Mytilus edulis: one gene and its partner. The protein of the gene in region 1 interacts with the protein of each later gene in a pairwise test. Links are inferred from orthologs where the notes say so. Each region holds a gene or a part of one and is shown in the gene's direction. Other genes may lie near its edges.

What was found. The genes of interacting proteins can lie anywhere in the genome.
Region 2: the proteins of myotubularin-related protein 9-like (region 1) and serine/threonine-protein kinase mos-like interact in binary tests that used the Homo sapiens proteins (3 or more experiments, as listed by UniProt). The link is inferred for Mytilus edulis from reciprocal best matches to the Homo sapiens genes MTMR9 and MOS.

Annotation. Positions count from the first base shown.
Region 1 is NC_092355.1:76,962,678-76,971,693, reverse strand, and holds the start of myotubularin-related protein 9-like, read left to right. Parts: upstream 1-5,625; 5' UTR 5,626-5,750; intron 5,751-9,016. Other genes in the region: zinc finger C2HC domain-containing protein 1A-like, read right to left, coding at 5,431-5,446. UniProt on the Homo sapiens protein: Acts as an adapter for myotubularin-related phosphatases. Increases lipid phosphatase MTMR6 catalytic activity, specifically towards phosphatidylinositol 3,5-bisphosphate and MTMR6 binding affinity for phosphorylated phosphatidylinositols.
Region 2 is NC_092344.1:114,467,181-114,475,692, reverse strand, and holds serine/threonine-protein kinase mos-like, read left to right. Parts: upstream 1-5,562; 5' UTR 5,563-5,638; coding exon 5,639-6,706; 3' UTR 6,707-7,425; coding exon of another isoform or gene 7,426-7,441; 3' UTR 7,442-7,608; coding exon of another isoform or gene 7,609-7,636; 3' UTR 7,637-7,673; downstream 7,674-8,512. Other genes in the region: NF-kappa-B-activating protein-like, read left to right, coding at 7,609-7,636.

The DNA of each region.
Region 1 (9,016 bases):
AAAGATACCAAAGGGACAGTCAAACTCATAAATCGAAAATAAACTGAAAAGGTCATGGCCAAAAATTAAAAAGACAAACAGACAACAACAGCACACACAACGTAGAAAACTAAACATGCTAAAGAATAAGCAACAAAAACCCCATCAAAAGACGTCATTAGTTCAAGCAGAACAGATTCTTGGGTCAGCCGGGAATAGCAATAAGGTGTATATAACTTATAAGAACAAACACAATACCAATTTCATATTTAATAATTTTTTGATATGAAAAAACTTTACCTGATGATAGTGTTTTTTGGTCTACCATGTTTATATTGAATATTAATCATACATACATGACATAACTTAAATAACGTCACAATTAAACATGCTATACTTTTTAACAACAGAGCCAAAATCAGAATTTTTTTTAAACAGATTTTGAAGTTTAAATAAAATTAAGAAAGGAATGTATTGAATTAGAAAAAAAATCATACAGACTTTGTCCTCTTACACTGGTATTGCCTGCCTCATTTACACCTCAATTATCACTATTTGTCCGCTATTACAGCTGGATACCACACAGGTTGCCATAAAATTTTGATGTCATAAAATAAATCAAAGCCAATTGCTGCCATGTTTATGTTTTGGGGACTTTTTTTTCATCCACATATATTTAAGAATTAAACATGACAGGAGTGTTGTCTAGTGAGAATTAAGAAGGTTTTAACTTTATATCAATTAAAGACTTAAGCAGAAAGTCATTTTTAATATGTTTTATATTTCACAAGGAGACAACACGTTTACCAGGCTAAAGTTGGGGTCAGATATACATGTGCTGAAACATATAACTCCAAGAGAAATTATTATGGATTATCCCCTAGTAGTGTTTGTAACTGGGCAATAATTTCCTTTATTGATTTAATTTTCATAATTAATTTAAATTTTACACTTCAGTTAAAACATTTCAACTTTCCAGACGCAAATGTTGAAAAACGGGAAAGAAACAAAATATTTTACAAGACATAAACATGTAAAAAATAAATATATATTTAAGCTGACTAAAAATATTTTCATAATGTTACTTTGTCATCATTTCTTAAAAACTAAGTCCCAAACGTTATTGCTCAGTTGATATGTGTCATCCTCATGCTGTACGAGATAACTATAATTCTCATGCAATCCCGAAAAGAGGGGCCATCACAGACAAACATGACATTAAATCGTCATTATACGAACACGAACAAACAGCTCTAAGTTGCTTTGATATCTATCCAATTTTCAGGAAACATTGTGAAAATGATCTTCAATATTTCGAAAACATGTGAAATATAATTGCAAACACGGTGGACCGTCGAGGGTCAACAAACGTAGTAGACTCGTCCATTGGAAAGACAAGGATAATGGTTTCATCATTTGTCATGCATACCCAGTTTTGAATATGATATCCAAAAAGGATGTACTTTTTTTAATCTATGAAACTAGAAAATTCCAAATTGTAAATATCTCTTCATCTGGACTTGGCATCTATCACATTTGGACGGGTCCATTTCATTAGTAAGGTGATCGATAAATCTTACGGAGTTATGACAAAAAAGGAAAACAAACTTATTGTTATGTGTTTTTAACAAGGGTTTCGTTCCTCTAAATTATTTGCGCAAACAAATCAACAAAATAGGTCAGTTAACTTTGTCTATTTTTAGATTACAGGTAATCATTTGACACTACGTATAACCTGATAACCTGTGTAGTGATTTTGATTTTACGATAAATTTATGAATGAACGACAATTTTATGAATGAACAAGAGCACCTGACCTCTTTCTTAAAAAAACACCAATTAAACATATAAAACCGTATATTATAAAAGATAATTCAGTCAAATTTTCAATACTAAATCAACAACTGAAATGATTCCATATTTTGTTGAAACATCGTACGAACGGAAAACGGAATCGCAGGTATAAAAATGCATTTTTTTTCACTCGGACGTCTATGTTTTTTGATAGTCAAACGGTTGTCCCCCTAAATACAAAAATATATCTACAAGAACGTATGCTGAAACTTCTTAAATCCACTAACGTTTTTCAAAAGTTTCAAGCTATGTATTGCATTAGAAAACATACATAGGTGTTTAAGAATGACAGACCAGGAGCCTGTTTAACAAAATACTATGGCTTGATCTGGGCGGAGTCTCTGATCTGGGTCACAAAGATGGCCATACGCGACGGCATGAAAGCAATTGCTTTAAAAATCTGATGACACAATGGAAAGTGATTGTTGTATGTGTCAAAAGTTCAAGCGGCTGGGTCAGCCAGAATTAGCGATAATGTGTATTAAATGAGTATCCAAAATGGCCGATACCATGGCATTTTCACTGATACCAGTAATAGTTGTAAAAAACAGGCTAATTCGTTTGAAATGAGGAAAACCAGATATATAGATAGAATAATATATGTGAAAAATACACCGGCTACCAACCAATCAAAATCTGGCCTTTTTTTTAAATAAGGTGTAATTATATCACTAATGTGCCATTAAAATAAGTTGATGGTGTCCCTAAAGTAAAAGTAGGGAATCCATGATATCTCGGCCTATAACATAATCGGACTATAACAAACTCGGCCTATAAGAAACTCGGCTTCCCAAAATCGGACTATAACAAAGTCGGACTATACCAAACTCGGACTACTAGAAGAATATAAGTATAATGTTGGTTGTTGTTGTTATTCGAAATTAATTTTCAATTCTTAATTTAAATGAATTTTTATCTTCAATTAATTAAATAATTGAACTTTTTTGAAGGGGATAAAAAAATAAGTTAACAAGATATTTTTAAAATAAAAGTACAAAAATAAATCTTTTTGAAATTCATTTATGAAAATTTCCACTGATTTGTCTTTTCAGTATTATTATTTGTAATAATGTCCCTCTCAGAATATGTTTTTATTATATGCATATCTTAATTGATTATGACATCATGCCACGTGTATCGTTGATACCTTTTTTAATCATCATAGGTTAAACAAACAACTGGCACATGTACTGTTGACACCTATCTTATCACCCAAGTCAGGACAAATCTATCTGTTATTACAGGAAATTTGGTACTAAATATCCAATTAAATGTGTCTTGTCTTGTATTGGCTATGACTGGACTTCAGGTTTTTTTTTATTATTATAAATTTTGTGTTAATTATTATAAGACAATTCAGTGAATTGTAGCATTTCTGGTTTTTGATCATATTTTGAAATAGTGAAATTGTTATGAAGCCATTCACTGTCAATCAAATTTCTCTGTGTTTATTTACTATAATCATAAACACCAAGGATTAAACACAATAAAAACACGAACACACGCCACTCATTAAAATATCTTTTGCAATTGTCAATAAACATCATAAATCACAATAACATTCCAATGTAAGTTAATTATCCTCATTGGATCTCCTGTAGTTGGTGATCGCAATACTGGTATACCAGTATTGTCCACAATACTGGTATAAAAATTTTGTACCAGTATTGTATTCCAGTATTGTACCAGTATTGTGCTTTTTTTAAATAAACAATATAGGTAATTAATCTTTTATTAAAGGTGTCACATATATGCATAATGAAATTAACATATGACATGACAATTTTATCAGGAATGATTGTGTTTAACTGATGATGCCATAGATGGTACTCTGTGATTGTCATCAAATAAAGTTTTAAATCTTCTGATGTTTTTTTCTTAACCATTCTGTCTCAGCATTTTAACAAACTCTGTACTTTCTTCTATCTTTCCAAGATTCATGTAGTATATTTTAGTGAATTTTATATTGACATTAATGCTGTTATAGCTTCTGTATCATCAGCATTGGTATTGTCTATTTCTTCTTCAGATGTGATTTCTGCAACCCCTCCCCCCTCCTATATTCAGTCTCTGTGGACTTTCTCTAAAGCTTACTAGATTACAAGCTATTTCAAATAGCATTTGTACAGCTCTCTTACTGTCAGAATGCTGGTCTAGTATTTGTACCAGTAGATATATATGTACCTGCTACTAATTGTATTGTCCATGGTTCTGAATCAACTGCTTCAACCCTTAACATTCATGTAGACAAACTATTTAATTTGATTATAACAAGGTTCCCCTATAAAGCAACTTTTTATTATTAATGAATAATATTGATATCTTTTGTTGTGAAAGATTAATAAGAAAATAAAGACAAACAAATGCATATGATCTTAGTACACAAAAAATGTATACATGTATTAAAATGTTTGTCAAAATATGTGATGGCATACATGTAAATGATGAATTTACAGTGTTAGAGTCTAATAATTTGCTTGAATTTATTATATTATTACTCAGATAATAATAAGCTTTTATATAATAAATTTTAAATAATATAAAATTATTAGCAATTGTTTAAATAATAATGATGATATGAGTTAATTTCAATAATCTTTTGTTTATTTGTGCAAGTATAGTAATGACTTTTAACTGGTTGTTAAATAATTATTGATTTCACAATTATCCTCTATAATCTTTTTGAGTTCATTTAATCTCCCTTTGATCTTCAATATAGTCTAGTCAACAATACAACTACAATACTGGTATATCAGTAATGTACCAGTATTGCTGTTTTTTTTTAATAAAAAGTTACAATACTGGTACAAAATTTTTATACCAGTATTGTGGACAATACTGGTATACCAGTATTGTGGACAATACTGGTATACCAGTATTGCGATCACCAACTACTGGCCTTGAAGGCATAAAACTTTGCTCAGTGCTTGGAGCACAAAAATCGTGCTCGAAACATGAAATCCAGCAATTTGATTGGTTGATTTTCGAGTCTGAGTTCAAAAATCATGCTCGAAAGTTTTATGACCGTTAGGCCAGGAGATCCTCCTCATTTAAACATATCTAATTCAACTCATATAACAAATATTAATCATTTCTATATACGATTTTTTTTTTACAAAAATATTCATGATAATCTCATAAATTCGTATATTATTTTAATATATAAGTATTTTTTATTACAATCTTCTAATCGTACTGTAGTCCGAGTTTGTTCAATATATTTCTGCATATAAATAATGGTAGGCCGAGTTTGTTATAGTCCGAGTTATAGTCCGATTTTGTTATAGTCCGACTTTGTTTTAGTCCGAGTTATCCAGCAGCGAAAGCAGGCCCTCTCACCAAAGGCACTTGTTTCTATCCATGGGAAGACCCACTTGGATAGAAACAAGTGCCTGTGCCACTCACCAGCTCACGGCAGTTGTTAAAACTTATTTTCAAAGTTAAAAAATAAACATTTTGTTGGTTGTCTGGTAATCTAAAACTAAATTTTATGTGAAAGATGAATTATTGTTGCAGTGAAGCTTTAACATGACTTCGACAAGCTAATGTCAATATGAAAAATACAGCAATATTTTGGTCAGCAACCAAGTTGTTTACCATCGTAATCCGCCATCTTCCAAATATCCAGCGACACTATTCAGCAGCAAATTAAATTCTTTCACTCTTTGAGGGTATAACAAAAATGTTTTTTGAAATTTTAAAAAAGGCAGTTTATTTTCCTTTATTTGAAAATAAAAAAAAATGAAATTGTGTTGATTTAAATTATATATTTTTTGTACTCGTATTTGCCTCGGAAATAAAAGAGTTGTCTGCAACTTCCGGTCTAAAAAATTATGATAAATTTTCAGCACGAAACCAGCGACACCTACAGAATACAGAATACAGAAACCAGAAGCTGACTTTATATCTAAATCTAGGTATATTTACAAAACAAGTCATACCTGCCAACTGTCACTACTTGCGGGTTCCCAAAGAGAAATTTTACAAGAGCAATTTTGTCCACTATTTTAAACAAAACAATGAATTTTATCATGACTTTAAGTTTAAATAGGCTTTTGAAAGTATGAAGAATCACAAAAACAACATTGAAATGCATTTAAAAGCCCCCTTTAAGTTTTTTAAGGACTATGACAGCCATCTTGCACGCAAAACCTCTGGGCAGGGGAAATCATAGAGAGGGGAGCCTAACTCGCTTCAGATGATAATCAGACAATGGCGGCTTTATTTCGGAAATATGTAGATTTTACATAACAAATAAGAATACAGTCCGAACATACCGATAAATTATCCTGCTAGTTCGATTGGCTTAAAGTTTTTTCGTGTTTTTATTTTGATAAGTGTATGAACCCTTGACCGGTTATTTGGGGTCTTCTTCTACACTCCCAAAATATGATAACAAACACGTCTTAGCACACGAATGTACTCAATCAAAGTGTTTTCTACGTGTATTATGAAAACTATAGAAAAGGGGGAGGGGGGAATACTTGAAAAAATAATTTAAATTTGTTTTATTCGTTTAAATTGGTCTACCGATATACAAATTTCATTACTGAGTAAAAGTAATTGAAAATGAATTTATATTTCAGCAAGAAATTTACATAAAATGTTTTTTTTAAACCAGTTTAATTCTGTCAGTAACAAATCCAGTACGCATTTTTTCACCGGAGGAAAAACTATCGGTGCTTTCACTTGCATAATTTTGATTTTTGGATATCATGTATAACACTTGCGGTATCCTCGTGTAAGCATTGATTTGCTTCAACTGAGTTACAATTTTTAAAGATTTGTAAATAACAAAAAAAAAGCGGAGCGAGGCAAAAATTTTTGAGGTTATTTTTTTAAAAATATTCTTCTAAAGGGGTGCAATGTAGGTATTTCGAACTATTGTGAGGTACAGTCAGCAAGAAATTAAAGTTTCAAGTAGAAACCACCTAAATCCAACCTGACAACAATTTACAATCACTATAGTATCATGGACGGACAGATGTAAAACAATATATGTTCCTGTTCCGCGAAAAACCTCTCAGTTATGATGACAAGGTCTCTTACAAACTTGAAAAATCTTCAACAAACTCCTAACACCAATAACTTACGTACTACATGTAAGAGATTCATTCTGCATATATATGATAGAGTTTATAAAGCTGCAACCCAAAACAGAAGCTGAAGATCATGCGAACAATTTATTTTGATTCTGTGTTCCTATGCAAACTGAGTGTGCAGACCAATCTACACTGAAGACACCAGCACTTCTAAAATAATCAATATAAGGTCATAAATATCCCTGAAAGACATTGGTGCTGGTAATTGTGATAAACAGAAACATCACAAAAACAGGAAGCCCTTGTTTGCAGATCGTCAATGTCACTTAGCCATTCAACATGGTGTAAATTATGTGAAATGAAACCGGTTCACTTAAGAATTACTTTAACACTCCATAACACAATCATCGACAAACTTGGTTAGGACGATGGAAATGTAAAGAGTTGACAGATAGACGGGTGGATCGACGGAAGCAAAGTGAGACAAGATAGATCACATCAGCTCACATGACCAATACTAGATACTAGTATTAGATTTCGCAAACGAAAATTTCCACTTTTCGCGGTGATTTCCAATTGTCCTTTAATTATATGTTTTAACTTTTTGGATTTTCGGAGGTCGTGCCAGACTTAATATATACATATACTGTGTTCGCCACAAACCACTAAAATCAGAATGAGATACATTTACGAAGTTATTTTTATTTTGTGGGGATACGGCCATGCACGTATTTACGGTATACATAATTCGCCACTTCGATTATCAAAGAAATTGATTATAAAACGGCAAAAACAAAGTAACAATTGTTTGTAATTTAACAGCTTAAACATGTTTTTCATTTTTCAATCAGACACCTTCCTTTGAAGTATATAATATTTATAGAACTTGAATAAATTGTAGGTCAGTTGATTCTGTTACTTAGTATAGAAAGTCCCTGGTTAAACTGACTGTTTTATATACTTTGAATGTTAAGAAGGAATGGTCTCTTCTGATACTGAAACAAGTTGAAGACAACCCATACTTTGCAAATTTTAGGGGGGGGGGCGTACGCCCGCCACGCCCCCACGTAAATCCGCCCCTGGTTCAATGGCGGATCCAGAAATATATATAGTTTTTATGCAAGTTGGCTTCTTTATCTTAAGTATTGTTCACTGAATCAGGATAGGCGGATCTAACCCAATTTATAGTGACAAATTTGGTTGATATATATTGTCTGCTTAATTCTATAATTTGCATATTTAAAAATCTGGATTGCAGATCTTTGATGATTTTTTTTAACTATGACGATTAGAAGCTGTGACAAAAGAAACAGCTAGGTATGAACCGTAAGCTGCAGTCAGCAATGTAACCATAAATCGTATGTCCATAATATTTGGAATGCAGTTGTCAGAAGCTGGATAAAACTTGGTAGTTAGGGTGCTCGCACCCCTCTCATTAAGCTTCATTTAGGGTCAGTCAAGATTTTTGCAGGTTTCACTCATAAATTCGTCTAGCTTTGGGACCCCTCCACAAACCACTTTTACAAATTCTAGATATGCATCGGGTTGTATTTACTGAAGCACATCTTATACTAAAAGTCATGGAGTTTTTTTTTAGACCAGCCCATGTTCAGGGTTTATTGACTAGAGACCTTTTACATGCAGGGACACAATTTATGAGTTATTTTTCAGTAGATGCATTTGGTCTCTGGTTGAGAGTTGTCTTTTTCAATCATTAGCAATCTTACCACATATTTTCATATTTCTGTGTTCAACTGTTTGTTCTTAAATGTTAAGCTGTTACACCGTCACAAGTTACAGGAGAATTTGCATGTACAGTATGTGTAAGCCCACCACATTCTCATTCTGTATGACTTTGTTCTAAGTAAGTAGTTTGAAACTCTGTTTGCTTTTGGTCATATTGAGTTTTATTTGTTTATCACTTGCATTTTTATGCCCCACCTACTACAGTAGAGGGGCATTATGTTTTCTGGTCTGTGCGTCCGTTCGTCTGTCCCGCTTCAGGTTAAAGTTTTTGGTCAAGGTAGTTTTTGATGAAGTTGAAGTCCAATCAACTTCAAAATTAGTACACATGTTCCCTATGATATGATCTTTCTAATTTTAATGCCAAATTAGAGTTTTTATCCCAATGTCATGGTCCA
Region 2 (8,512 bases), on another chromosome or scaffold:
AAAACATGTTTTACCCCAAACGCCCCAGTCTATTTTAGAATAACATGATAGCTGAATAATGATCCCCAGTCAGTATCAGCTCTATAGATAGATGTAAAGTCTAAGGTACGAACCATTTGATTTGAGGAGGCAGTCTAAGGTATCTGAGAAAAATAATCTGACTCCGATTTTTGCATTAAATTTTTTAAACTTTTTTGCTATTAGAAACGAAAATTTCCCACAGAATTATTTAGCATTAAATGAACATGATGTATAAAAAACAGGCGTATTTTTTTTTTTTGGTCGGGGGTTTGCATGTCTGACCGGAATGTCTGTTTCGCCGAACTGATATATTGAATACTTTTTTCAAGACAAGACTGCAACCTGACTGCTGAGAGTGGCTTTTATGTCTCCATTTGTCGACGGTCATTCATAAATTCGTCGTCATTTCAGACTCATTCGTAGCCTTTGGTTGATTTTGGAACCCCTCACCTCCCTTGATTTTATTGAGTGAAATATATCAACCAAACATTTAGATAAAAATTGGTTGTTTGACTTTTTTAACTCTCGTATGGTAAATTTCATCGAATAGTTCGGCGTATTTCTTGTTTACAACATCCCACATCAAATATATCAGTACATAGCTTTGGATCCATATTATCATTTTATTATAGACAATCAATAGGGAGAATACAGCATAAAAATGTCCAACCCTTACACTTTACAGCAACTATAGAATATACATGCCCCACGTCAGGAACCGTTTAAAAAGTGCATTTTACACTTATTTTTTTTTTATAGTCCAAAAAAGGTCCAACAAATTTAAAACTTCGCCCCCCCCCCCCTCTATCTAAATTCCTGGATCCGCCCCTGATGTCCGTCATTCAGGATTCACCTGACCCCGAATTTGCCTCATTTCATGGATGAAGATTCAGTCCGTATCGCGGATTCGTTAAGCTTTAGGATAAATGTCTGTTGTTATGATTGTAAGGTGTACATTTGCAGACTTCTGCAAGGTTTATATAACATCGAGCTCATTATCATGCATCATTCGGCAATGTTCGTTTTATGTTGGTTAGCCTTTTGGATATATACCTGTTTGCTATAGCGCCATGGTATTTCGTGTATGGTGTACATGTCTGTCTGAATGTTTCATATATGACCATGATGACGTCAATTGTATTTGATATATTGAATGATAGTAAGATGTCTATGTCTGGCTGTCGGTCAGGGTTCATATACTTTTGACCTTATGTTCCAAATCAATTGGCCAAGCATCACTTTTACATTTGTCATTTTCTAAGGCATTGTAAGGATCGGAACACATATATTTGGTCTACGGGATATTTGTAGAGATCTGTATGTCATGGTTCATCTGTTCTTGCACTCTTTTTATGAACCATTTACAATCCTAATTTTAAAAAAAGAAGATATAGTATGATTGCCAAAGAGACTACTATCCACAAGAGACCAAAATGACACAGACATTAACAACTATAGGTCACCGTACGGCCTTCAACAATGAGCAAAGCCCATACCGCATAGTCAGCTATAAAAGGCCCCGATATGACTATGGAAAACAATTCAAACGAGAATACTAACGGCCTTATTTGTATATAGATAATGTGGCGGGGTTAAACATGTTGGCGGGGTTAAACATGTTAGCGGGATCCCAACCCACCCCCTAATCTGAGACAGTGGTATAACAGTACAACATAAGAATGAACTATAAAAATCAATTGAAAAGGCTTAACTCATCAGATGGACAAAAATACATTAAGCACATTAAGCGCATTTGACACTTCTATTAAAACCCTTGATATTATAGACGTTCAAAAGAATTACTATCATAACTAAAGCAGACGAGATTTACTCAAATTACTCATGAAAGATGCTGTTTTGCTGAAAGTTTTTGTTTGATGGATATCATTTTGGTTTAAACGTTGCATATCCATATTATTGGCTAAATAGTGTCGGTCTGCCTGAATTGCACTTGACCGATTCTCAGAGCTGAATCTTTCAAACTTATTTAGACACGTTTTTAGTTGTTTTGTTTTTTAACTTTCGAGGTAAAGTGTTGAATAGAAAAATATAATAGCTTTAATTTTCTTCCTTATCAAAATAGTTACAGGCTTCAACCAGTTGCAGGTTTATCAAATGGTAAAAAAAAATACTGATTTCTGATTACTAGTAATAAGTCTGGTCACGCATTATCTTTCACGATCAAAATAATGCGTTGCCTGATCTTTCACGATCAAGTTTGATGGATATTCAACAAATTCAAGGTTTTCATATACAAATTAATGCTTTTAAGGGAAGAACATACCTTAATTTTGCTGTACTATCATATACACCAAAGATTAAATTTCAAATATATCACGATAAACTGAAATATGACCATTATAGGTACAAAAAGCGTGTTATTTGTAATTAATTTCATAGACATGCATTGCGCCTTTTGTGTTTTTTCATAAAGTACTGCATATATTCTTTATCTTATTTCACAGATATGTTGAGGAAGTTAAACCATTTTGACAGACATATTTTTTTGTTCGGATTTGTTCCGCGTTTTGAAAATTAAGCGATTTTTTAAAAGATTCTGACCTAAAATTTTCATTAAATGTCTTTCACGATCCGTTACCAGAACTTTCACGATCGTCTCTCAATACTTGACCGTCGTTAGATATTCTTTCACGACCATTTCTCTCGATAAACCGAATGACACCCGTGTCCATTGTCTATGAACATGTAGCATTTCGTACAAATTATTATAATTCACGTATAACTTGTACAATAACTTATAGTATGGATTTTGTTATAAAAAAAGCATTGGTACACCCTATAGATTATTTTTATTCAATGACCACATAATAATCTTTATGATGTACTGTTACACCACTGTCCCTGATTAGGGGAGGATTGGACACCACCTATAGCATGGTAACGTTGACGCAATCACATTCTGTATGTGCCTACTTCCAAGTCAGGAGCCTGGATTCAGTGGTTGTAGTTTGTTACTGTGTTACTAAGTTTCTCGTTCACTATTTTGTGGATAAATAAGGCAGTTAGTTTTTATCCTTTGAATTATTTTACATTACTAAGTGGTATGGGTTTGAATTATGGCTTTTGAAATTATACAACATCTTTTTCTTTTAGCATTTATATTATAAGTGCTACTCCCTCTCTTTTCATTTACATGAAAGAGAACCCTGACCAGCATATTTTTAAAAGTTTTTTAACTGCTTCACATGGCGAAAATTGAAGCTCTGAAACCATTGATGCAAATAAAGATGTGTCTTCAGTTTAATTTTTCGATAAATTTACCCTTTTTAAAAATCCTACAGCTTCTCCCATGCTGTACCCAAATTTTCCATATTCTATAATTTTACACAAGATGCATGATTGGTGTTTCACTTGGTGTCATCCAAATTTTCACTAGGTCCACATTCTATTATACTATCAGAATTGTCACTTGAGGCAATTTCTATTATCAGAAGAACCATAACTGGCATGCGTGTTTCAGTTACATGTCCTGTCTCAACTGATCTGGGTATTTTTGTATTTTATAAGTAAGTTTTATCAGGAGGTCATTAAATAAAAAAAATATATTGTGCATCAATTTTTTTTTTTTATTACTTGTAAAGTATTGCTTTTCAGAAGAAAAAAATCTAAAAATCAAATTGACAATAAAGTGTCACTGGCTGCACTACTATTTTCAAAAATTAAATAAAAAAACCTAAATCTTTAACAATTGATCCCTCAAATTCCCTAGATTAAAAATATCCCTATATCAAAAACAGAAACTAGTCATTTCGTTCAGAAAAATTCAACAATCATACTATAACTTATTGTACAAGTTACAGAAAAAAAATCAACCAAGGCAGAACTGCCTCAATGGCCGAAACGTCTTGTTTACACAAATTACAATTTTCTAGGTCCATACCACAATTTATATACTAAGATCTACGAGTCATCTGCTGGATTGGTCCTGGGCAGATTTATTTTCATATTTCATTTACTGTTATCTGTTATTATCCCTTTCCAATTCCTTGTTATCTGTTTTTCACCAAATCAAATCACTGTTTTGCTGTTATGGGGACCCCCCTTGCCCCCCCCCCCCTCATTACATAGTGATCATTAGATTGTGGATACCTTGTTACTATGAGCTTGTTGTTGCCTTATAATCATCAGCTTGTGGTTACTGTGTGATCATCAGCTTGTGTGTGCATTGTGATCATTATTAGGGTGTCCTTTAAGAGTAGACTAGTCCGACAGATAACCAATCTTCTTTCTTCGTTTTCATGTACTCTACTGATCGCAGCTCACAACACGACTCACTTCTTGGACAAATTATTATGGAAATCCCTGATGAATTGAACGCTAAAGTTAGCAGCCATGAAGTTGTCTGGTAAAGAACCTGATTGGAAGTTTTCGGCAAGTACTGACCAGGTGACCGTACAGTTGACATGGAACAAGGCTAAGGAACCAGAGGCATTCTCCAGTAAATCCAAGCCGGCTCTAAAAAAGAACAAACCAGGAGAAGGGACGCCAAGCGTTACGACCAGTGGGTGCAGGCCAAAAGCTCTGCTGCAACATCAGCTGAGGTCAAACCACCAGGGTAGACCAGAAACAGCAGAAGAAGCCATACCATCACTAGAGGGCAGCAGGGAGATAATACCCACAAAATAACAAGGGGGAAATTAGGGGATCGTTATCAAAACGAATATCGTCATCAGTCCGTTCAACCACAGGAAGGCATGCCATCTCCAATATCGCCAACCAACCAGCGACAGAGACTAGTAAGACTAGACTACTTTGAAAGGAGGGTAACATATCTGAACTAATAATGACTTCAAAGCTCAGCTAACAAACAAACTATCCAAGAATTCTACTGTATTTTGTGTCAGTTGGTCTCTTGTGGAGAGTTGTCTATAGCAATTATACCACATCTACATCTTTTTTTTTCTCAAGTCAATGCCGCGTGCTTAGCGGAGATGCAGCTAATACCAATTTTAAGATCTTTGGATTCACCCGTTAGGGCTTCGAACCCAGGACACTATCCCTCACTCGAGACGAACGCGCTACAACTTACCCACCGGGGCGGTTTGACCATGGAACTTCCGTGGTTTGACTATGTTTCATATTAGTTACAGGAAAAAACTACCAGCGCTGTTTTGTCCTAATTCTTATGTATATGGATGTATCACTTGTTTTGTTTTTGCATTGTTTGAAAGATTTAAACAACAATTTAGTTATGATATTGTTTTAACGAATAACATAAAATCAACAACATCTTTATATCTTTCAAATTGTTCCCGAAAACTTTTCAAACACTCAAGTTTTTTTTATAATTTTTGTTGCCAATTCTCACAATTTAAAGTATTTAGATCATTTGTAACATTTTTTTCCAAAAGAAATATTTACCAGAAAAGCTTTTGTATTTTACGTGATAAAATAATAAGAAAAGATATTCACGGAAACTTTTTTTTTTAATTTCCTTCTATCATTTCAAACTGTATTGTTAGTATAATAGTCACAGCTTTGAATCACAAAACAGTTGATTATGAACCTTGACCTCATATGTGAACAGTTTTCAACCTGAATAGTATAGTGTTATAGTTTATATAATGATTGTCATAGTAAGGTGGATATATCCAAAATGCAGATAAAAAGTAAACAGAATTTGTGTAGTGTTGTTAAAGACAAAAAATATTCTTCAAGTTCACTGAAAGGACTTAACCAATGCCAGCATATTTTACGGAAATACAAACTTTTCCGTAAGAAGTTGGGACAGTTTGCTAAGAGGATTGTAATGCCTGTTTTGGCACATAAAGAAAAGAAGAGAGATGAATTCAAACGTCCCCACGCTATCGTTAGCAGCAGACACAGAAATACATCCCTTAAGAAGGAAGAAGTTGTTCTTGGACGCTTGCTTGGCACAGGTGGATTCGGATCAGTTTACAGAGGTAAATACAAAGATTCAACTGTGGCCGTCAAAGTAATGCACAGAGTAACGAAAAATCCTGCGGCACAGCTGGAAAGCTTCAAGGCTGAGTTAAATACGATAGGATTCGACCATGAAAACATTGTCAAAACTATCACAGCTACATCTTTGGATGTTTTTGATCAAGGTGCTTGGATTGTTATGGAGTATGCTGGACATCGGACATTACAAAGCCTTATAGATGACGATTCCATTTCCCTTGGGCCATGCCGCAGGGTCAAATTTTCCCAGCAGATTGCCGAAGCTCTAAAGTATGCACATGACATGAAAATTGTTCATCTGGATTTAAAACCAGCAAACATTCTCATAACGCCAGATGGTCGATGCAAAGTTGCAGACTTTGGTTGCTCTCAAAAAGTGGAGATTGACACGGGGATTGTCAGTCCAACACAAAGATCCATTTTGACAGGTACTTTTGCTTACAGAGCTCCAGAACTATTAAAAGGTGAAGCTCCGTCTAAAAGGGCAGATATTTATGCATTAGCTGTCATAATGTGGCAGTTGTTGAGTCGACAGACCCCGTTTAGTAACGAAAACCAGCACGTAGTTATTTTTGGCGTGGTAGCATATGGACAGAGACCTAAGCATCCAGAAATTGATGTTGATCCGTTTGAGGAATCGTATAGAGACTTGTATTCACAGTGTTGGCTACCATGTGCCTTAGACCGACCAACAGCTGGGGAAATTGCGGAATTGTTGAACATATGGAGAGGTTACATGTAAAGTGTTGTGAAAAAAGAATATTTTACTTAAAACAAACCAAATAGCAATTTATTGATAAATGATTTGTATGCCAATAGAAACAAGATTTAGTATTTTAATGTCAATTTGTGTAAATATTCATTTGATAATTTTTGCCTGAGAGGTGTCTTTACATACACATCTCAATGTATTTTCTGTTGATTTATTTTTGTCAGCCTGATTTTATGGCTTTGATAGACATTGTACAGTGTATAGCTTATTTTTTACATTAGTTTTTTTTACAATTGTTATCCTGTTTTATGTACAGAATATTATTTACATTTGTTCTCGTTATTTTACATTTGTTATTTTTATTTTGAGAACAGTTGTTTTTACATTTGTTTTCCTTTAAAAAAAAACTACTCGTGAACTATTAAAGTTTGGTATTGAATCCAAGACCCGAGGGTAAATTCATTGTGAAGTGCGATCTCCCGGTCAATCTTTATAATTTTAAATAATATGTGAAACCGAAACTACGTCTTGAATACTGAACGCGCATTTTAGTCAACAACACATGACATGACATGACATGACATTTATTTTGAGATGTAAAAAAAACATTTGCAACCACCGTGACCTTGCATCGAACACATAACTCAAGTATTTTACATTTCATGATTTGTGATTTCCCGCGATTTTATTCGGTGCTTCTCTAGAGTATTTATTGATTAGGTCAAGGATTTGGTATTGCAACTATTTACATGGAGAGAAACACAGGTATGCAACACATTTAATGCATTGTACATGATAAAGAGAGAATATATTGTATAACACGAATTTTAGATAGATAAGGTTTGACCTGTATATTTTATTTTTTAATTGCAAGTGCTTACATTTATTATTTCCCTTTATATTAGCTGGATAAACAAAAATACCGATGAACCATGAATTGTCAACATTGTCGATTGTATGGTAAAAAATGTAACATTAAAGTTCCTCAGACATTTTATTATTTGTATTTTATTAATATTCTTCTTGTGTCAATGTGTGTTAGGCAGCAACCATTTGATTTTCTGGGGGGGGGGGGGGGCTATGGTTTTTTTTTGGAAAAAAAAGTTTGTTTCCAGGTTTTGGTTTGTCGCTAAAAAAATAGATTGTTCTGCGCCGAAGGCGAAAAAAAAAGTTTGCACAGAAAAAAAAACCATAGCCCCCCCCAGAAAATCAAATGGTTGCTGCCTTTTGATGAATGCATGAACCTCTAAACCAATATATACTTTGCATTGATACTAAGGGGGCCCGCTTACTGACCTAAAGGGGGGGGGGGGGGGGGGCACTCCAGTCATAATGGTCAGACAGCATCACTATTAGAATCATAAATATTCTCTCGGATACTATAATCAATAGGGCCACTGAACTTGGTGTATGTAATGATTGTAAGTTGAACATGTCTCTGACTTTGACTTTATTTTAAGCTCCCCTTTTAGAGGAAATGTGAGCCTTTGCCATCACTTGACTTGGCTTCAGTCATCATCCGTTGTTGTCCATCGTTGTCCTTTGGATGTAAAATATATCAAGCAGCTTCTTTGAAACTACAGAAACAATTACAACCAAACTTAAGCTGGATGATTCTTAGGGTATCTAGAATTATATTTGGGTTTTATTTTCTGTTGTGTAAAAAAACATGGCCCCCATGGCTTAAATTAGAACAGAGTGGTAAAGTGCAGTTTTTGGTTTATATATATAATATTTATCTCAAAAACTAGAGCGAAACTCCCATGGAGTAAAAACGTTCCTTTGGTCAAGTTCTATCAGCCCTGAAATTTTCAGATGAATCTATAACAATAATTC